Stegostoma tigrinum: one gene and its partners. The protein of the gene in region 2 interacts with the protein of the main gene of each other region in a biochemical or structural test. Links are inferred from orthologs where the notes say so. Each region holds a gene or a part of one and is shown on either strand. Other genes may lie near its edges.

Region 1 (7,043 bases), on a different chromosome or scaffold from region 2:
AGATGTTATATAAAGAACCCGGTTTTCTTTATTAGAATACAGGAATACACCATTTTAAGAAATAAATATGCCCCAGGAAACCACTACTTAAATTGAAGCTACTTAGATGAAAGTAGATTTTATCACCTAAATGTATCACATATGAGGAGATGCTTTTACAATCCAAGACAAATGCCTTCATTATAAACATTAAAAACAAAACAATATAGTTAACTTTCTACACTAGCAGTCATGTGACAAACAAACAATCAGAACAAATTTTGCTTTTCCCGATCACTATGTCCATGACGCTTCAGGGATTACCTACTCTGACATGTACAACCGATCTGGACATTGATCTCCATTAATGGACAGCTTCGCAACCATTGTCTCCTTTCTGCAATGCTGATGACCACTCTCCAGATGAACAGATTGCTGACCAGGGCTGTCTTGCTCACAATGTTCTGTTTCACCATCATATTGGAAGTCCAAGAAATTTGTAATTTGGAAGTGATCAAGGCTGGAGCTGTCAGGCACCTTGTCAACCTCCTGTGGCTCTGATCTCCAAGAAATTGTACATCACTGTCTAAAGAGGCTTTAACCATTCCTCTACTAGCACTGTTACTACAATGGACCATGAAAGCAAGCATTAGGTACAGCAAATAGTTAGGAAAGTAAATGGCATGCTGTCCTTCATTGCAAGGTAGGCTTAGTGTGGCTGTAAAGCACCTTCGTGAGACATCACTTACAATAGTGTGTGCAGTTCTGGTGGCCTCATTTAAGGAAATTTACAATTGCCAGACAGGGAATACGGTTAAAGGTCACCAGACTGATTGCTGAGATACAAAGTTTGTCATACGAGAAGAGATTGGGTTTAGAAGAATAAGACTGAATCTCAGTGAAGTGTGTAACATTATGACAAAGCGGGGTTCCTACAACAATGGCACATGGTTTTCAGATACAGATTAAGGATTTTTGGGCTGAAAGCAGAAAAATGACTTCAAGAAGTGGTAAACATATACCATTCTCTATCATGTAACACTGTGAAAGTGAAGTTGCTAAGTAATTTAAAAAAGAAACAGATAAGTTACCAGACACAGGCATTAAAGGGTATGGGGAGGGAGCACAAGGGAATGACATTAAAAAAGGATCAGTCATGGTCATTTCAGACAATATACTTTTGGTCTAATTTCAATGCATAACCCTCAGTCCAGATCCATTCTAAGGTATCTTGATCATCAAGGTCAGGGACAAAGAAAACCAAAGCCCAAGTTGTTTCATTCAGCTGGATACTATGAAAACAGTCAAGTTTTACACTCATTCTCAACTATTTCATAACAAGGCATTAAATATGTGGAACCAATAGCTAGATGGTAATTTAACGGCTTAATAACACTACTCAAGAGTGTATGGATGAACAAGGAACAAACAAATTACTGTGAATTTTAACATGTTAAAACTTGCATATTTCAAAATACAGGCCATGTTATCATTTAAAAAGATCACGAAATACATTTTATCATTTGGTCCTAAATTAACTGGTTCTCCCACTTTAATAAGTTATATCCGACCAGCAAGTTGAAAACTATTTTAATGAGTGTGTACTAACTGTGGCTTATAAACCCATAGTTAAATCAGACACCCATGAATGACTAATGTTGTATATAACAAATATGTTTAGGGAGGGGTTTCTGCTGTGACAAACCTAATTTAACCAAAGCAAATAACTTACACAAGTCTTAAATAGATGGGTACACCAAAATCAGTAAACATCATACAACAATCCACAAGAACAGAACCAGTTTTTCCAGAAACAGTTATGCATTCCAACTTTTAGAAGTCCATGTCAGGAACGTACACTTGTAACTTCAGAAATTTTCAGCAGTAAAAATCACTCATTTTGCATCAATATGAGGCACAATGACACGAAGGTACCTAACCTGAAAGCCAGATTTTTGACAGACTTGAATAATTCACACAATCCGTTGAAATGCAGAATTGAGGGATTGCTGCATTACTCAAGGTACTGTCTTTTAAATAAAAGATATAACCAAACTGCTTCTATTATCCAACATGTGGATGTAAAAGACAGAGGGGCAGGGAACTCTTTGGCATAATGACATTCAATCCCTGCATCGACAACAACAAATATTAATTGGTCACTTATTTCAATATGCCATTACAGAGGATTTGTTCTGCACAAATGGATAGGTACGGAGTGGAAACTTGAGTGGAGAAATTAGCAAGTGGGATTAAAATTCATAGCCTAGCTGGAGATTAGCAACCAAAGGTGAGAATGGAGAATGGGGTGACATAACGGTTAGTGAAAATAGGATAGGATGAGGTGGAGGTGGGATAGGGATATGAGGAGGAGTCAGGGTGGGTTGGGGATAGCGTGTGAGATGGCAATAGATTTGAATGGGGCAAGGGAATTTGTGGGACTGGGGGGCTGCTGCAGGGGAGGAGAGCGAAAATGGGAAGCGACAGTTGAGAGAACGCGGGCGAGGGCTGATGTTGGTAGGAGGTGGAGAGGCAATGGAGGTGGAGTAATCGTGGATTGAGGAGTATGGAGGATGTGGAAGGGGTGAAGTTGGGGGGGGGGGGGGGGTACAGACCCTTTCCGGAGACAGGGACTCCAGTAGCTCGCAATCAAAACCGGGCCAAGGCGTCACTCACCTGCTCTCCAGTCGGGACTCGGTCGTCTCCTCACATCCACATCACTTTAACAACTCTTCTGGCAGCCGAGTGGAGAGGACGGAGTGGCTCCACCAAATGATCCGATCAGCTCGGCGCTAGGCCCGACTCACAGGTCCTCCGTTATCATCATCATCATCATCACCTCATTCCCGAGCCAGATCCACACGAAACAAACAGCTAGAACCGAACTTAAACCTCCCAAACACAAGATCCGTATTCCAAATCTAAACCATACTCACAGCAGCGCCGACTATCTTAAAGATGCAAAGCTTTCACTACAAGATGGCGGCTCCTCAGGGAGCAGAGACCGCCTCCGCCTTTGCCCCGCCCTTCCACCATCGGCCCGCCCATATGGCCCCACCTCTTCCACCAGCTGCACCGCACGCACGGCTCCGCCCCCTCCACCGTCGGCCCCGCCTCCTCGGCCCGCCCTCATGATCACGCCCCTTCAACACCAACCCAGCCTCGGCTTCGCCTCGACCGCGGCCCCGCCCCTCCATCTTACGTCCTGCGTCACTCCACCCCCACTGCTCATGGCACTTCCGCCTCTATCCACTCGCCCAATATCCCATTCGTGGACCTGCAAACCCGCCCAGACACGCCCCTTAACTAATGTCTCCAGTTGTGATCCCGCCCCACCAGCTTCGGATCCGGTCCGCACCGCACCCTGTCCCCTACAACGACGAACTGCTGGATGTTTCACATTTTGCCGTTGTTGTTCTTTTGTTAATTAAACAGGTTGGATGAGGAGGTGGGAGTTATAGTGATGAGGAATGCAAAGATGAATGTTTGAAATTTGACTTGTTAGTGAACAGAGAATCAGTGTAGAGAACGAGTGATAGGCGAATGTTGAAGATAAGTTCACGTTGAAGAAGTTTGAAGGCCAGTGAGGACAGTTTTGCAATAGTCACGCCACTGGGTCTGGTTCTGAAGGATGTGGGAATAAATGAGACAGACAAGGGTTGAGCAGCTTCCTTTCGAACCATAATTCCGTAACTCTGGCATTCTGTCTTGGGATATTTGTGTGTTGAAGGATGCTGGGCAACCTATTTTCTGATGAAAACAGATATTACTGGAAAAACTCAGCAGGTCCATTTTGGAGACAAATCAGAGTTAAAATTTCATGTCGCGTGACCCTTCGTCAGAACCTATTCTCTTTTCCATCTGAGTGTAAGAGGACATCTGGCTGTTTTCACAGTACTTTTAATTTTACAGTTGAAGATTGTAAAATAATAACAAATCATGCTGGAGATCTGAAACAAAGAGAAATTGTTGGAGAAATAAAGCAGGTCTAGCAGCAGCTGTGGAAAGAAAGCAGAGTTAACATTTTGAGTTTGGTGACTCTTCATCAGAAACGGTAGCACCTAGAAAATCTGGTATTTATCCAGAATCTGGGTGAAGGGGTCTGGGTAAGGGGAGCGGTGAATGGATAGTTGGACACAGAGCCCAGAGGGAGTGAGACAAATATGAAAGAGATAGGTAAATGAGGAGATTATTGATAGCAGGCGAGAACAGAAGAAAACCTGAATAAGGGATAATGAATAGCTAAGAATGAGAAAATGGGTGAGCTGTTCTGAGTGCAACACATATATGACAATAGGCCCAGAAGTACGTGAGAATGAGTGACTTGTGCTAAAAGTAAACTATATCATAACAGAACTGGATATGGAGCATGTCATAAACAATGAAGATGGAATCATGCTCTCTGAAGTTATCAAATTCACTGTTGGATCCTAGAGACTGCAGGATCCCAAAGTGAAAAATAAGATGTTGTTCTTTGAGTTTGCTTTGAGGCTTGCTGGGACCTGCAGCAGGCCTGCAATAGAAACATTGGTGTGGGGCATAGAGGTTTGTTGAAGAGGCAGGCAGCTGGAAACTCTCCTGTGGAATGTGGCATCATCAGAGCAAATGTGAAGAAAGAAAAAGAAACTGGGAAAATGAGATGGAGCCATTACAGGAAACGGGGTGTGAGGATGTATAATTGAAGTAACTGTGGAAGTTGGTGGGTTTGTAACAGATATTGGTGGCCAGCCTATACCCAGAAATGGGAACTGAGATGTCAAGAAAGGGAAGAGATGAATCAAAGATGGAAGGGATGAAAGTGAGGACAGGGTGGAAATTGGAAGCAGAATTGATACATTTTTCTAATTCCAGATAAGAGGGGGAAACAGCACCGATGATGTCAACTATGTACCAGAGAAAAAGTTATGGGTGGGGGCCAGAGTAGGAATGTTCCATGTACCCCACAAACAGATAGGCATAACTGGGACCCATAGCCACATCTTTAATCTGAAGAAAGTGACAGGAGTCAAAGGAGGAGTTGTTCAAAACGAAGATGAACTGTGCCAGACAAATGAGGATGGTGGTGGATGGAGACGGTTCAGGCCATCTTTCCAGGAAGTTGTGGAGAACCTTGAGACCATCATGATGGGGAAATAGGCATTAAGTGGATACATGTCCGTGGTGAAGAGGAAGTGGCTGGAGCCTGTGAACTGGAAATTTTGAAACTGATGTAAAACATCACAAGAATTGTGGATGTAGGTGGGGAAGGACTGAACAGAAAAAATTAAAAATCAGGAAGAGGTTCTTAATGTAACTTTATGCAATTTATTGTGTAATAGCAATCAGGTAGTTAGCCATTGCTATTCAGACAATTGGGATACATTGATGATAAATCTGCCTCCTTCCAAATCAGAGCTGTTCTCCCAATTTCCCTATCCAGGACTCCAGACCATCATCAGGTTGTGTGTAGCTAATGCAGCCATCTTTAACCCTTTTAGAACATTTACCTTAGACAATTGCAAATGCTTTGAACCTTAATAGATCTGGGACCAAAGTTCTACAAAGTGTTTTGCTAATGCTTTGGCACAGGCTTTAAACTGATTTGACCAGGGGAATGGGAATGAGGATGTAAGGTTAGGAAGGATAAACAAAGGTGCACAAATTGGTAGGAGCAGATGACATAACATTAAGAAGTAATATTAGAAGTCATAATAATAAAGTCTTAGGTCAGGTCAAGATATAATAAAATACATTTTAAATCTGGCCTTGTCTGATGTTGGATGTTCTTGCTGTAGTTCAGTGAAGGTTAATCAGGCTGATTCCATGCATGGCGAGACTGATGTAACAGGAGAGGTTGAATAAATTTGGATTATATTTGCTGGAATTCAGAAGAATGATTGACTATTTCATAGAAACCTATAAAATGCTAACAGGACTTTACAGGGTAGATGCAGGAAGGATGTTGTTGATGGTGGGGATCCCTAAACCAGTAGTCACAGTCTAATGATGTGAGTTAGGTCTGAGAAGAGAAGATATTTCTTCACACAGCAAGTGATGAGCCTGTGGAATTTACAATCTCCAAAAGCAGTGGAGGCCAAAACAATGTGTGTTATAAAAGTGCCAGAAGTATTAAAAGGCATAGCTCTAGCACTGAGAAGGTCAAGACTAGCAAACAGATGGAGACAACGCCATCTGCAAGTTCCTCCTCCAAGGTCTAACTTGGAACCATATCTCTGGGCCAAAAATCCTGTACTTGTTTCCAGCAGCACTCTGGATGTATTTATACTACATCACGACAGCAATTCAAGAATATAGCTCATTTCTGCTTTCTGAAGATCAGTTAGCAATGGGTAGCAGATGCTGCCTTTGTTGACACTACCCACATCCCATGAGAGAATTAAAACAATTAAAACATCCAAGTGGGGCGATGGAACAGGGTTGAACGTAGACAAATGAAAGACAACCTTGTTGGAACATTTAAGATTCTCAGGCAATGATCAGGGTAGATATGGAAAGGTTGCATCCTCTTGTGGGCGAGTCTAGAACTAGCGGGCCTAGTCTCAGAGTAAGGGATTGTCCATATAAGATAGAGATGAGGAATGTCTTCTGTCAGAGGGCAGTAAATCTGTGGAATTCTTTACGACTGAAGACTGTTAGGGCTGAGTCATTAATCATATTCAAGACTGAGATAGACATTTCTAATCAATGAGGGAATCAAGAGTTATGGAGAAATGCCAGGAAAGTGGAATTGATGATTATTAGATCAGGCACAATCTCATTGAAGGGTGGAGTAGCGTAGCCTCGTTGAGCTGAATGGCGTACATCTGCTCCTATGACTTGTATTCTTATGGAGACCTGAGGCTATACATGCACAAAATCAGTGAAGTTGGTAAGACAGATTAAGAGAGTAGAAAAAAAAGTATTTATGAGTTTCTGTGCTTTGTAAATAGAGGCATATAGAGTACAAGAGCAAGAAAAAGATATGATCTTTTGTAAAATTTTGGGTTGACTTCAATTGGACTTGCGTCCAATTCTGGACACTGCAACTTAGAAAGGATGTGAAAACTTCAAAAGAATGATTTCAG
Region 2 (7,004 bases):
CTGTTTCCATTTCGCCCATAGACGCCGCCTGTGGATTGGTTAAAATAGCTGAAAAGTCTAGTCAGCAGAAAACACTGAAAGATTATGAAGTGATGGACTGGACTTTCCAAGGAGTGGTAATCTCTCAGTGCAAGAAAGAAGGGAACTCTGCATTTCTGAGAGGATGGATGACGGCTTTAGCTTGGTTATGGCTCCACAGTCAGTGGAAGAGGAGGGGAAGTGTCTCACAGGGGCAAGCCGACCGGGTTCAAGCCCGACAGTATGCAGCAGCGGGTATGGGGAATGGGTTCAGAGGCTGGTTGTGGGATCAGGCCGAGGTCTGATGGTGACTGTGACAGGGTCACTCGGGCTTCGGTCTGGTGGTGGTGGTGGGGAGGGCAGAGATCAGGGTCCAGCCGTGGTCATGGGGAGGGGAGGGTTTAACAGCGCCTGGGTTTTAGGGAGTGGGGGTTGTGGGGTGAGTTCAGATCCTACGACATGTGGGTGGGGGGAGCACGGAAGGTGGGTCAGGCCTGGCTGCTGTAGGGCGGCTGGGGGATTTGGACTCAACGGGTCGGGGGAAAGTGTAGTTGTGGTGTCTGAGCTAAGGATCGGATTTTCTCGAATGTCACTCAGGAGTTCAACTATACTTAATAGTCTAACCTTTCCTGAACAGTTATTTTACTTAATTTCGTCTGAACCCTTCAAAGTCTCCGATTTAAACTGAGAATCTCGGATGGGTCCTGGTGTAGAGGTATGACCCAACGGAAAATTCAATTTCCGGGCCATTCCTTCGGGATCTGCTATTATCGGGATTCCGGAAGTTTCCCAGATGCAACTCCAATCTGCCTGGGAATAATGACTGTATAGCCATCAGGAAATCCAGGTCACTACGTAATATACATACTCACCGCCAAACATTTTAAGAAGTGCACAATTTGGGGGGTGGGGATGAGTATCAGCTACAAGATTCACTGCAGGTTCTCATGCAGGCTCCTTCGACAGCACCTTGCAAATCTGAAACCTCCACCCCAGTCCCAAGAATGTGGGCGTGGGAATCCTACTGTCTGGAAGTTTCTCTCCAAGCCACATATGATCCCAGTTTGGGAATGTGTCACTGTTCCCTCAGTGTCGTCGGGGCAAACTCCTGGCACTCCCTTACTAACGACGCCGTAGGTATTGCCGACAGCAGTTCCAGAGGGCAGCTCACCGCTACCTTCTCCAGGGCAATCAGGGATGAACAACAAACATTGGCCCAACCAGTGACGCCCAGGTCCCGCGATCGGAAATTAGAAAAATTATTCTGAAGGGCAACATAGATACACTTATGGTGAAGCCTGAGAGAGACTTTGTAGAGAGAAGTAGCAGGATGCAATGATACAGAGAGATAAAGATGAGTTGAAAAGGGTATAGACACCAGTAAGAACAATACAACAATACATTGTACCCAAATCAATACAGAGCTCTCAGTAACACCCCTTCATTATCTATACCCCTGACTTCCACCAGGTTTGGGGCTGGCGCCAGGCAAACTTCTAGCCTGACTGCTCTGGCGTAAGACGTTATCGGTGCAACAGACAGAACGGCTCAGTGTAAGAGCTGGCGGAGGGAGCTTCACTCTCACAGCCGAAAACTTCAATCCAACGGGATTTACCGCTCGGACAGGATGCAAACAATCGTTGCTAAAACATCACGGTGTGAAGCTGGATGAACGCAGAAGAAGGGTCCCGACCCGAAAACTCATGCCTTCCTGCCCCTGTGATGCTGCTTGGCCCGATGTGTTCATCCAGCTTCACACCGTGTTATCTCAGATTCTCCAGCGCCTGCAGTTCCCGTTATCTCTGTTGCATCCCACGTTTGGTCCGCGACTCCCTCCACTGACCCACTTGTATATGATGTTGGACTGGGGTGGACAAGGTCAGAAATCACACACCAGATTATAGTCCAATTCTAACTCAGTGTCGTGTGATTTCTGACCCTTTGAATATGAAAAAGACAGTAAAATTCAAACAGAGGACCCCATCAGCGTTAAAAGCTTCCCTCCATTTCTGCCTTGCTGTTAATCCGTTCATTGAAGTTGCTTTGGCCTGGGTGTTAGTTGTTCCTTTCTCAGTTTGCCTGGGGTGTCCTATGCACTTCTGTAACTTCCTTACTCCGAGACAAGCAATTCTCCCTGCTACCGCGGTCTCAGCAGAGGTACGTAACAAAAACACACTTTCCCAGTCCCTTCTCTGTGCATCTGTCTCACAAAAATAATGTCCTTCCACCTAGAATACACAGCACTCGCGGGAAAGTGAACCTGAGGATCTGAGCAGAGAGAGGCAGGAATACAAATAGTCAGAGGTCGGGATTATCACTGGTTAGCACTGCAGCCTCACAGCGCCAAGGACCCGGGTTCAATTCCAGACTCGGGCGACTGTCTGTGCGGCGTTTGCACATTCTCCCTGTGTCTGCGTGGGTTTGCTCCAGGTGCGCGGGTTTCCTCCACAGTTCAAACATGTTCAGATTAGGTGGATTGGCCATGCTAAATTGCCCGTACTGTTCAGGGGTGTGTGGGTTATAGGGGGATGGGTCTGGGTGGGATACTTAAAGGGGCGGTGTGAACTTGTTGGGCCGAAGGGCCTGTTTCCACACCGTAGGGAATCGAATCTAATTATCATTGAAAGAGAGGAAAACGGAGACATTAGGTTTGAATGTGTTCAGATATTCTCAAACTAGTGGAAGAAAAATCCAACTTCCGAGTCTTTTTTATAACATCTCCCTAAATCTAAATGCAGCTGCAACACGTTTGTTCAAATGTCAAAAGCACTTGTAACCCTGTTAACTGGGGACGGTCTGAAAGATCGAACCTCCGGGCGAATATAATCGGTATGTGAAGGTTCATTCATCCAGACATTCCCTCCTTCGTTTCTCTTCCATCGCTCCACAGTTCAAACCGGGCTTTCCCTCATAGACAATGTGAAGGTGAGCGAATTAAACAGACCAATCATTCCGTAAGTGAGAAGCAGCCTTTTACCTTGATGAGCAGTCAGAATAAGCAGGAGAGCAGCAAGCCAGCGCTGAGCCATTGGCAGCGGGAACACACTGAGTGATGAGCTGCCTGTTCCGCTCTGAGTTTAATCAGTCCCAATGCCGCCTGCCTCCCCTCGCACCAGTTTTACACACAGCTCCCGCTGACGCGCTTCCCCCTCGCTCCTCAGCCTGACTGGAGCAACGCGTTTCGTTGCTCGTTCGTTTGACACTGTTGCTTTGTTGTTGTGGATTTATTTGCATAACCGTCAGATAGGCGTTAATAATCTCATAAAGTTACCCGAAACTAACATAATGAATTCTTGAGTAAAGAATATTCCCAAGGCATTTACCTGCATTATTGGCTTCTTGTTCCTGTCCCTTTCATCACGGAAATTGGCACCACCTCAAGTGATTATCATTCCTTCTGAATCTCTCAACCTCCCAATACAATCCCCCAGAGTGAAGCTTCTGCCCATTTTACTCTACATCCTGAACCCGAGTCAACATTCAGAGTTCGTCATTTCTCCAACAGGAGAAGCAACTTAATAAAAACCGAGAGAACTGCGGACGCAACTTGTTTAACCTCCTAAGCATTCTAACAGGTCCCGAATCTTCACAGAAGCACAGTCCTGAAGAAGGGTAATAATCGAAAACATTGACTTCTCCCTTCAAATGCTGCCTGGCTTGCCGTGTTCTTCCAGCATCAGGTCTGTCTACCTTGGATTCCAGCATCTAACCATTAAAAAGTAACTAGATACCAAGCCACGTAAGGCAACATTACAGCAGTTCACCCACAGTTTAATCATAGAGTTAAGTGTAAAACTAAAGGCATGAGGATATTGTGAATAGTTTGTCTGGTTATCTCAGGAAATTTTCAAAAGGCTTCCAAGACAGTTCCACGTAAGAGACAAGCATGTAAACCTAAAGCATATGAGACTGGGGTAGTATAATGCCATGGACAGAGAGCTAGCTGGAATAAAGTGAAGAAATAAACTGTTCTTTTTGATGAAGCATGCGGTGACTAATAGCCCACTGCGGGAAATAGTGCTTGACCTCTAATTCACAATATATGTTCATGACTTAGTTGAGAGCATTTTATGATTTGGAGTTGGGGGCCACATGTAGGGTGTCAAAGTTTGCAGATGACATTAAGATGCGTGGCAGAGCAAAGCGTGCAGAGGACTGTGAAACTTTGCAGAGGAACACAGATACATTGAATGAGTGGGCAAAGGTCTGGCAGATGGAATACAATGTAAATAAATGTGAAGTCATACATTTTGGTAGCATAATAGTGAAAGGGATTATTACTTGAATGGTAAAAAGTTGCAGCATGCTGCTATGCAGAGGGACCTGGGTGTCCTTGTGCATGAATCACAGAAGGTTGGTCTGCAGGTACAACAAGTGATTAGGAAGGCAAATGGAATTTTGTCCTTCATTGCTAAAGGGATTGAGTTTAAAAGCAGAGAGGTTATGTTGCAGCTGTACAAGGTGCTGGTGAGGCCACACCTGGAGTACTGCGTGCAGATTTGATTTCCTTACTTGAGAAAGGATGTACTGGCACTGAAGGGGGTGCAGAGGAGGTTCACTAGGTTGATTCCAGAGTTGAGGGGGTTGGTTTATGAGGAGAGACTGATTAGATTGGGATTATATTCATTGGAATTCAGAAGATTGAGGGGGTTCTTATAAAAACATATAAAATTATGAAGGGAATAGATAAGATGGACGTAGGGAGGATGTTTCCACTGGCAGGTGAACCTTGGACAAGAGGGCATAGCCTCAAGATTAGAGAGAGCAGATTTAGGACTGAATTGAGACGGAACTTCTTCACCCAGAGGGTTGTTAATCAATGAAATTCCTTGCCCAGTGTAGTAGTTGGCGTTACTTCAGTAAACATTTTTAAAGCTAAGGTAGATTGTTTTTGAACAATAAAGGAATTAAGAGATACAGTGAGAATGCGGGTAAGTGGATCTGAGTGTGCAAAATGATCATCCATGATCTTATTGAATAGTGGAGCAGGCTCGAAGGGCCGGATGGCCTACTCCTGCTCCTAGTTCTTATGTTCTTCTAAATGTAATCCCTCCAAGTTTGCAGATGACACAAAGTTGGTTGGGAGGGTGAACAGCGCATATTCAGATACTCTGAATCAGGTAGGGAGGCCAAAACTGCGCACAATACTCCAGGTGTGGTTTACAGGCCAAAACACTTGAAATTTAGTCACACTCATACTACAGGCGGCTTGGGCTGGTACGGTGGCTCAGTGGTTAGCACTGCTGCCCCATGGAGCTAGGGACCTAGGTTTGATTACACCCTTCGGCAACTGTCTGTGTGGAGTTTGTACATTCTCCCTGGATTAGCATGGGTTCCTCCAGGTGCTCCGGATTCCTCCCACAGCCCAAGGATGTGCAGGTTAGATGGATTGGCTATGCTAAATTGCCCACAGTGTTCAGGGATGTGTTGGTTAAGCAGATTAATCACAGGAAATGCAGGATCACAAGGATGGGGTGGGTTTGGGTGGAAAGGTCTCCGGGGGTTAGCATGGACACGATGGGCCAAATGGCCTGCTTCCACTGTGTAGGGATTCTATGATTCTATGACACTGGAGTGTGCAGAAGACTCTGAAAGTTTGCAGAGGCATATAGACAGTTTACGTGAGTGGGGAAAGGTCTGGCAGGGGTACAATGCTGATAAATGTGAAGTCATTCATTTTGGTGGGAATAACAATAAAAAGGACTATTATTTAAATGGTAAAAAATTGCAGCATGCTGCTGTGCACAGGGACTTGGATATCCTGGTGCATGAATCGCGGAATGTTGGTTGGCAGGTACAACAGGTAATTAAGAAGACAAATGGAATTTTGTCCTTCATTGCTCGAGGGATGAGGTTTAAAAGCAGGGAAGTTTTGTTGTAACTGTATAGGGTGCTAGTGAGGCCACACCTGGGGTACTGTGTACAGTTTTGGTCTGCTTACTTGTAAAATGATGCACTGGCACTGGAGGGGGTGCAGAGGAGATTCACTAGGTTGATTCTGGAGTTGAGAGTGTTGGCTTATGAGGAGAGGCCAAGTAGACTGGGGTTATATTCATTGAAATTTAGAAGAATGGGGGGCGTATCTTAAAGAAACATGTAAAATCATGAAGGGAATAGAAAAGATAGAATCAGGGAGGTTATTTCCACTTGTGGATGAAACCAGATCAAGCTGTCATAACCTCAGAATTAGGGGGAGCAAATTTAGGACTGAACTGAGAAGGAACTCCTTCTCCCAAACAGTTGTGAATCTGTGGAATTCCCTGCTCAGTGAAGCAGTTGAGGCTTCCTCATTTAATGTTTTTAAATCTAAGATAGATATTTTTTGAAGGAATTAAGGGTTATGGTGAGAGGGTGGGTAAGTGGAACTGAGGCCATGAAAAGATCAGCCAAGATCTTATTGAATGGTGGAGCAGGCTGAAAGGGCCAGATGGCCTACTCCTGCTCCTGTCTCTTATGTTCTCACATAGGAACTGCAGAAACCTCTTTGCACATACCAAAGGCCCACATGAAAATATATGATAATGACCAGATAATCTCACTTTTTAATGATGTTGATTGAGAGATAATTATTAGACAAGACACTGATGATTAAACTAGTTACTATAGTTCACATCAATATTGTTGAAGCTATTTTGAGCCAATGCACATGTAGAGAGGAACACACAAAATTTGGTGGGGTCAGTAAATAGCAATAAGTTTGACTGTGTATTAAGTACAGCGAAAAGACATTGGACTGGATTAAACCCAGGCCAATATGACAAGAAACATGGCCACAGGGCCCATTTAATCATGGAAGAATGTTCAAGTCCATTTCTTGGAGTCGGAGACACTCCTATTATTACTTTGGAGGCAGGAAGGTGCCCATAGACAAGTTTTTAACAAAAAGTTGCTCATGAGATATGAACGTTGCTGGCTAGGCCAACAGTTATTTCTCATCCCCAATTACCCAGAGGACAAGTTAAGAGTCAGTTACATTGCCGTGCCTG
Region 3 (8,086 bases), on a different chromosome or scaffold from region 2:
GGATGGAAATGAGAGAGCACAGTCACACTTGGGTCCTCCTGGAATGGAGTAGCAGGTTGGCACCAAGCTAGGGGCCATTTTTATCTATTCTAGACAGCAGACCAAATCTTGGGCTCAAAAACATAGTTGGTAGCTGTAAATGATTCTGAGTTAAAGTTTTACCTAGGGTTAGTTAGGATATATGACGCTGAACAGTTCATTTGGTGCAAACAGCCCAGGCTGATGTTTATGTTCCAGTCCACTCACTCTGTCGTATCAGATTAAGAAGTGATGAATGATTATTTACTTTAGTTCACTTTGACTGGAGAAATGAGACTTGCAATGAAAACGCACACAATGCTACAGGCCAAGAAAGGAAAAAGGGATTAAAGTAACTGGTTGTTTTTGACTAGTACAGACTCCGTGGGCTGAAGGGCCTTTTTCTGTGCTGTAGACGTCTATGACTAAGACTCTAAGCTATGTATGTCGCCATATATCTGGGAGGAGGAAAATAATATCTCATTTCCTGCTACATTTTGAGAAATATTGCACCACATTGCAGCAAAGTACATCACTATTTGAAGATTGTCACAAACTATATCTTTAAACACTCATTTAAAAATATTAATGTACAAACATGAACTTGACATGTCAGAGTCTTGCAATCCTCCAAGTCACCTTTTCACCAGGTGCAGCATGGTGCGATGTGGGATGGAACATTTCTCACTTCTTTAACAATATTAATTAGACTGAGCTTAGAAAAGGAGGAAAGACTAACTGCTCCACTATCAAACCACTGTTTGAATGAAGTTAAATGATTAACTGATCAGTTATCGGACCCTTGTGGTGCCTCAAATGCATGCAAATATAGGTTTTGTATATGCAAGGGTTGTCTTTGATTTGTTTGGATAGAATCAAACGCCAATGTTTGTTTCCTTGACATGCTATCATACAAAATCAGAATGCTTTTTGGTACCATGTATATATACAAAGACATTTTTTAATGAATGAAGTATATTTTTGAAGTTAAAAAGAATCACCAGAAATTGAACCAGACCATCCATGCAAGTATTATTGCTACAAAAGCAGATAAGAGGCTAGGATTTCTGCAGCGAGTGACACACTAAAGCCTGTCATATCATCTACAAGGCACAAGTCAGGAGTGTGATGGAATACTCCCCACTTGCCTGGATGGGTGCAGCCCCAACAACACTCAAAAAACTTGACACCATCTGGGACAAAGCAGCCGTTTGACTGGTACCACATCTACAAACATCCACTCCCTCCACCACTGACGCTCAGTAGTTACAGGGTTTACCATCTACAAAGTACACTATAGAAACTTCCCAAAGTGCCTTCAACAACAGCTTCCAAACCTCTGATCACTACCGTCTCCAATGGAATATATCGCTGCTCCTTCACTGTCTTTGGACTAAATTTCTGGAACTCTGTCACCAACGAGATATACCTGCATTGTATGGGCTGCAGAGGCTCAAAAAAGCAGCTCACCACCATCTTCTCAAGGGCAACTAGGCATTGGTAATAAATGTTAGTTCAGCCAGCAATGCCCATATCCCATGAATGAATCAAAAATGGAAATCCAATTAATTATAGCAAAACATTACAGGATTTGCTTAAGTGAGCCAGCAACCAGATTGGAGCAAAAGTGCATCTTTATTTAAAGGTTCTCATAAACTATTGGTAACAAGTCACACTTTCAATAGTCATCAGATATTACTGAGCAACTTTCTCACTTACACTCCTACAATTCTGCGTAGCGCTTAGTTAGTGATGGCCCCATTTATACAGCCCGCTTTCATTTCACGTCCTTCTCATTAAACATTAAATGCTGCTAATTTCCGTCAAATTTCACTTCCCTGTGGTGTTGCGTGTATGATTTCTGACCATTTCCCTGAAAAAGTTGCTTCTACAGGAATGGTGCTCGCCACATAGAAGCATGGCACTCCAGACTGCCAAACAAGCAGACAGCCAGTGGCATCTTAGCTGCATCAACCAAATGGGTTGGGCATGATTTTTCACAAATTGCTGTGATTTGTAAAATCTTTGTTAATATTTCTTCAATTTTACACTTCTGCGATGCCACATTCTGGCTGCCAAGTCAGTGCAACTTCACAAAACAGAATTGGGTATTTTCCGTGTAAATTTTTGTAACTTCCTCTGAAGCAAAGTCAAGTTCAGTTAATTGATTCTAAATATATAAGCTCATAAATAAAAGCAGAATCCTTGTGGGGGTAAGAACTGACCAGTGAAACGAGGGCATCAGAACTTCAGACAGAGCACTAGTGAACTAAATAATGTACAATAACCTGTTTGAGAATTGGGAGTGATTTGAAAGGGTATCCCAGAGAGACACATTAAGAGATAGCCTCCCAGGACCTCAAAACTGCCTTGCTGCCCAACCCTCTTGAATCTTTTCTGGTCTGCTGACTCAAAACTCCAGTTTGGAATTACGTAAACACAACCGCTTCCTTCATCTGGTTGTCAGTTTTAATTATTTTGCAGCGTTGTTGCAGTAGAAATTGCCCTTTTGTTTCTCATTAATATTTTATTCAAGGAGTCATAACCTTCCGCTCCCCCGCCCCCGCAATTCCATTGTTGAAATCGCACCGCGAGAAAAAAAAAGGGAAATATTTCATTAGTATAGTTTCAGTAAAGGACGACCTTGCAAAAAGTTTGTGGTCTTCGTCATTACAAACCAATCTTTCTTTAAAAAAAAGGTTCACCAAATAACACAAAACAGAGATTGCAACACAGACAGGTACTCACCGCACAGCGTCTTGCAGCGGATTCAGTGATTAGCTTCAGGGCTGGGGGTTGCTCGCAGTCAGATGAAGCCTGTGAATTACTGGTATTGAAGTGATATCGAGTAATCGCCAACAGAACAGCAACTGCCAATTCTCTACCGTCGCATTTCACTTCGACATGGGCAGAAAAGGCAATGCAGAGAATTCGCGTCGAGCGTAGCACGCGAACTAATTTGTCTTTCAACATTACATTTACTAAAGAAGGTCTCTTCCTGTAGGTAGCTGATGGGTTGGATCATTTCCTCTTTTGATCTGAGCTGTGGCATTGCAGAATGTATTGAAACTTATTTGCAGAGACTATTTTACTTTGGCTATAAATATCTGGAGCTAACAACGGCGTTTGTGATAATATTATTGAGTAAGGAATAGCTGAAATTCCTGCCGCTGATTTAAAGGGAACCACCTGAGATAAGTGCACTTGCCCAACTCAGGGGCAGGTGTGCTAACAGGGGTTTGCGAGCTGTCGCACGGTTATAGTCAGGTCGGTGAGGTTAAGTTGTTAGGGTGGCAACCTGTCACTAATTCATCTCAGTCGGGGAATTTGAGTCTAGCAGCAACTCTGCATAGGACTTTCTTTCTCACCAGTCAATGTCTCCTTTCTGCTCACTATTAAACTCAGTCAGGGCACGCCATTTTCTGCATTAAAGGCGTTCTCGCTACCACAGAACTTACCCATGCCCTGAACATGCTGAGAAATGATCTCCTCTGACAATGCAGCACTCCTTCAATAACACAGAATCATAGAATCCCTACAGCAGGCCTATTGAGTCCATACCAGCCCTCTGAAGAGCATCAGACCAGCATTCCTATCCTATTCTATCCCTGTAACCCTGTATTTCTTATGGCTATCCCACCCAGTCTGCACATCCCTGGACACTATGGGTTCATCCCATATGGTAAAGCATGGCCAATCCATCTAACCTGCACATCTTGGGACTGTGGGAGAAAACCAGGGCACCCAGAAGAAACTCACACACAGCGAGAATGGGCAAACCCTACAAGGATGCCCAAGGGTGGAATCAAACCCAGTTCCCTGGCATTGTAAGGCAGCAGTGCTTAACCATTGAGCCACTGTGCAGCCCAATATGTCCTGATGCCTGATAGAAGCATGACATTTTACAGGATATGGACATTTTGAGCTCTTTGACAGGAAACCACAGGGACATCTGTTCTAAATGACATACATGATTATTTGCAAAAAATGCATTATCAAGACAAAAAAAAACAATTGTTCTATTTATGTGATAATTTAAATAGTTTCTCTCAACCCACTCCTCTCTTGACTGTGACAGGGACATAGGGTCCCACCCTCTCACTTCCTGCAAATTACTCTCACATGGAGGTTGGTGGTTTGTTGAACTGTGGAGAGATTTACTGACTCAAGCCCTGCATGAGCCCAGAATCTCTTTAGCAGAGGAATGATGGGCTGAATCTAAACAGGACAGCAATGAGACATTCAGTTTCTACAATGGAGATTGGAATCAAGATTTTGGAGCAAAGGACATAGGAAGTGGGAACTCATTGTAGTGCAATAAATAAAACACATAAGGATAACACCGCGAGGGTACAAAAGTAGGAGTGGACAGATGTATACATAAAAAGTACAAGTCTGGATTGTAAAACTGGATAGTAAAGGCAGTCAACATGATCAAAGACCTCTCCCATTCCGCTTATAATTTCTTCTTTCTGTCAGGCAAAAAATACAAAAGCTTAAACACACATTCCAGCAGGTTCAAGAACATCCCTGCTGTTATTAGACTTCTGAATGGACCTCTGAAATTTCAAACTGAATGTTGATCTTGCTTTTTGTGCAGCTTCTTTGTAGCCATAACTTTTGTATTCTGTTCAATCACCCCATAATCCTTGAATGTTATGTATTGCATGTAAAACTTTTTACTGTACCTAGGTACATGTGATTATAATAAATCAAATCAAATTAAAACTTGATTCATCATTAATTTGGTTGATTAATCTCATTAACTTGACTGAGATTTTTGAAGAAGTAACAGAATTGATGAGGGCAAAGCAGTGGACGTGACCTACATGGGCTTCAGAAAGGCATTCAACAAGTAGACTATGGAAGCTCGGGCAGGTGCAGGCTTCTCTTGCAGGATGTGGGAGGTAAGGGTCACTGCTGGTGCTCCCTCTGGCTTCACCTGCAAGAAGCGCACCCAACTCCAGCTCCTCCCAGGCCGCATTAGGGAACTGGAGCTGGAGCTGGATGAACTCTAGATCATTCGTAGGCTGAGGGAGTGATAGAGAGGAGGTATAAGGAGGTCGTCACTCCTAAAGTACAGGAAAAAGGAAGCTGGGTGACTGTCAGGAAGGGGAAAGGGAAACGGCAGACAGTGCAGCAATCCCCCCGTGGCCATTCCCCTCGATAATAAGTGTACTGTTTTGGATACTGTTGGGAGCAAGACCTACCAGGGGAAGGCCATAGCGGATAGGTCTCTAGCACTGAGCCTGGCTCTATGGCACAGAAGGGAAGGGGGGGGGTGCCGAATAGGAGAGCAATTGTAGTGAGGTATTCGATAGTAAGAGGCACAGACAGGTGGCTCTGTGGATGCAAATGAGATGACTGGATGGTATGTTGCCTCCTCCGTACCAGGGTCTGTGATGTCTCGGATCGTGTTTTCGGTACCAATGGTGTAGATAGAAAAAGGACTGAGAATGTGAAAAATTAGTACAGGGAGTTAGGTTGGAAGCTGAAGTCTGGGACAAACAGGGTAGTTATCCCTGGATTACTACCAGTGCCACGCAATAATGAGGTAAGAAATAGGGAGTGACTGCAGCTAAACATGTGGCTGGATCTAAACAGGACAGCAATGAGACATTCAGTTTATACTATGGAGATTGGAATCAAGATTTTGGAGCAAAGGACATAGGAAGTGGGAACTAATTGTAGTGCAATAAATAAAACACATAAAGATAACACCACTGGTGTAGGAGGGAGGGCTTCCATTTTGTGGGTAATTGGAGCACATTCTGGGGAAGGTGAGACCTGTACAGTAAGGACAGGTTGCACCTGAACTGGAAGGGCACAAATATCCTGGGAGGGAGGTGTGCTCGAGCTGTACAGGATGGTTTAAACTAGATTGGCAGGGGGTGGGGAACCAGATTTGTAATTCAGAGGATGAGGTATTCAGCCTTCCAACAGACACAACAGGGAGTGAGGTTGTTAATAAAGAAATGCAGTTGATGGAGTGTAATTGTGGACACAGAGATGGTTTGAGGTGAGTATACTTCAATGCTAAAAGTATCAGAAATAAGGTGGATGAACTTAGAGCGTGGGTCAGTACTTGGAACTACAATGTTGTGGCCATTACAGAAACTTGGGTAGATCAGGGACAGGAATGGTTATTGAAAGTTCTGGGATTTAGATGCTTTTAAAGAAATAGGGAGGTTGGAAAAAGAGGCAGGGGAGTGGCATTGCTAGTCAGGGCTCGTATAACAGCTACTGAAAGGCAGTTCGAGAATGATATGCCTGCAGAGTCAGTTTGGGTCGAGGTCAGGAACAAGATAGGATCAGTCACTTTGTTGGAGGTTTTTTACAGACCCCTTAATAGCTGCAGGGAAATGGAGGAGTGATTGGGAGGCAGATACTGGAAAGGTGCAGAAGTCACAAGATTGTAGTCATGGGTGACTTCAACTTTCCAAATATTGATTGGAAATATTTTAGCTGTAATAGTTTAGATGGAGCGGATTTTGTCCAGTGCATTCAGGAAGGATTCCTGACATACTATGTAGATCGACCAACATGAAGAGATTAGATCTGGTGCTTGGCAATGAACCGGGCCAAGTGTTAGACCTGTTGGTAGGAGAGCATTTTGGCATAGCGATCATAACTCCCCTACTTCTACAATAGTCATGGAAAAGGATTGGTACATAGAGCAGGGTAAGGTTTATAATTGGGGGAAGGGTAATTATAATTCTGTTAGGCAAGAACTGGGTAACATAAAATGGGAACAGATGCTGTCAGGGAAGAGCACTATTGAAATGTGGAGACTGTTTCAGGATTGCTTACTGCGTGTGCTCGATATTTTTGTCCCTAACAGGCAGGGAAGATGCGATCTAGTGAGGGAGCCTTGGTTCTCAAGAGAGGTCGAATGACTGGTTAAGAGGAAGAAGGAGGCTTGCATAAGGCTTAGGAAACAAGGAATGGAAAACGCTGTAGCGGGATACAAGTTAGCCAGGAAGGAACTGAAGAAAGGGCTTAGGAGAGCTATGGGGGTGGGGGTGGGGCATGAGAAAACCTTGGCAGATAGAATCAAGGAAAACTCCAAGGCTTTTTACACATACATGAGGAGTAAGAGAATGACCAGAGAAGGGGTAGGGCCGATCAAGGATTGTAAAGGGAATTTGCGCATGGAGCCTAAAGAGATAGGAGAGGTCCTTAATGAATACTTTACTTTGGTATTCACAACTGAGAGGGACCTAGTTGTAGAGGAAGGCGGAGTGAAACAGGCTAGTAGGCTAGAGGAGGTCAATGTTAGTAAGGAAGATGCACTAGGAATTTTGCGGAACTTGAAGGTGGATAAGTCCCCCAGGCCTGATGGGATTTATCCAAGGATTCTATGGGAAGCAAGGGAAGAGATCGCATGGCCTTTGGCGATGATCCTTTTGTTCTTACTGTCCATGGGTAAAGTGCCAGAAGATTAGGCAGAGGCAAACATCATTCCCTTGTTCAAAAAAGGAAAAAGGAGTAACTCCGGAAAGTTAGTCTTGCATCAGTGGTGGGCAAATTATTGGAAAGGGCGTTCAGAGAGAGGATTCATGATCACTTGGAAACGCACAGTTTAGTTTTTGATAGTCAGCATGGGTTTGTGAGGGGTAGATCATGCCTCACAAACCTTATTGAATTCTTTGAAGAGGTGACCAAATATGTGGATGAAGGTAGATTAGTGGATGTGGTGTACATGGATTTAAGTAAGGCGTTTGATAAGGTTCCCCATGGTAGGCTCATGCAGAAGGTAAGGAGGCATGGGATAGTGGGACATGTGGCAGATTGGATTCAGAATTCATTGACCCTTAGAAGTGGTGGTGTGTGAAAAATATTCAACATGGTGCTCAGTTGTGAGTCGTGTACCATAAGGATATGTTCTGGGTCGTCTTCTATTTGTGATTTTTGTAAATGAGTTGGATGAAGAAATGGAAGGGTGGATTTGTAAGTTTGTGGACAATACGAAGGTGGGTTAAGTTGTGGATTGAGTTGTGGATAGTGCGGAGGGCTGTTCTAGGTTACAAAGGGACATTGATTGGATGCAGAGCTGGGCTGAGAAGTG

The links. The genes of interacting proteins can lie anywhere in the genome.
Region 1: the proteins of mast/stem cell growth factor receptor Kit-like (region 2) and yes1 form a complex in vitro, tested with the Homo sapiens proteins (2 studies listed by BioGRID and IntAct, with this or other methods). The link is inferred for Stegostoma tigrinum from reciprocal best matches to the Homo sapiens genes KIT and YES1.
Region 3: the proteins of mast/stem cell growth factor receptor Kit-like (region 2) and matk form a complex in vitro, tested with the Homo sapiens proteins (2 studies listed by BioGRID). The link is inferred for Stegostoma tigrinum from reciprocal best matches to the Homo sapiens genes KIT and MATK.

The regions. Positions count from the first base shown.
Region 1 is NC_081358.1:79,796,589-79,803,631, forward strand, and holds the start of yes1 (tyrosine-protein kinase yes), read right to left. Parts: upstream 3,006-7,043; 5' UTR 2,656-3,005; intron 1-2,655. UniProt on the Homo sapiens protein: Non-receptor protein tyrosine kinase that is involved in the regulation of cell growth and survival, apoptosis, cell-cell adhesion, cytoskeleton remodeling, and differentiation.
Region 2 is NC_081354.1:108,017,592-108,024,595, reverse strand, and holds the start of mast/stem cell growth factor receptor Kit-like, read right to left. Parts: upstream 3,110-7,004; 5' UTR 3,048-3,109; coding exon 2,996-3,047; intron 1-2,995. UniProt on the Homo sapiens protein: Tyrosine-protein kinase that acts as a cell-surface receptor for the cytokine KITLG/SCF and plays an essential role in the regulation of cell survival and proliferation, hematopoiesis, stem cell maintenance, gametogenesis, mast cell development, migration and function, and in melanogenesis.
Region 3 is NC_081383.1:29,642,459-29,650,544, forward strand, and holds the start of matk (megakaryocyte-associated tyrosine-protein kinase), read right to left. Parts: upstream 3,006-8,086; 5' UTR 2,767-3,005; intron 1-2,766.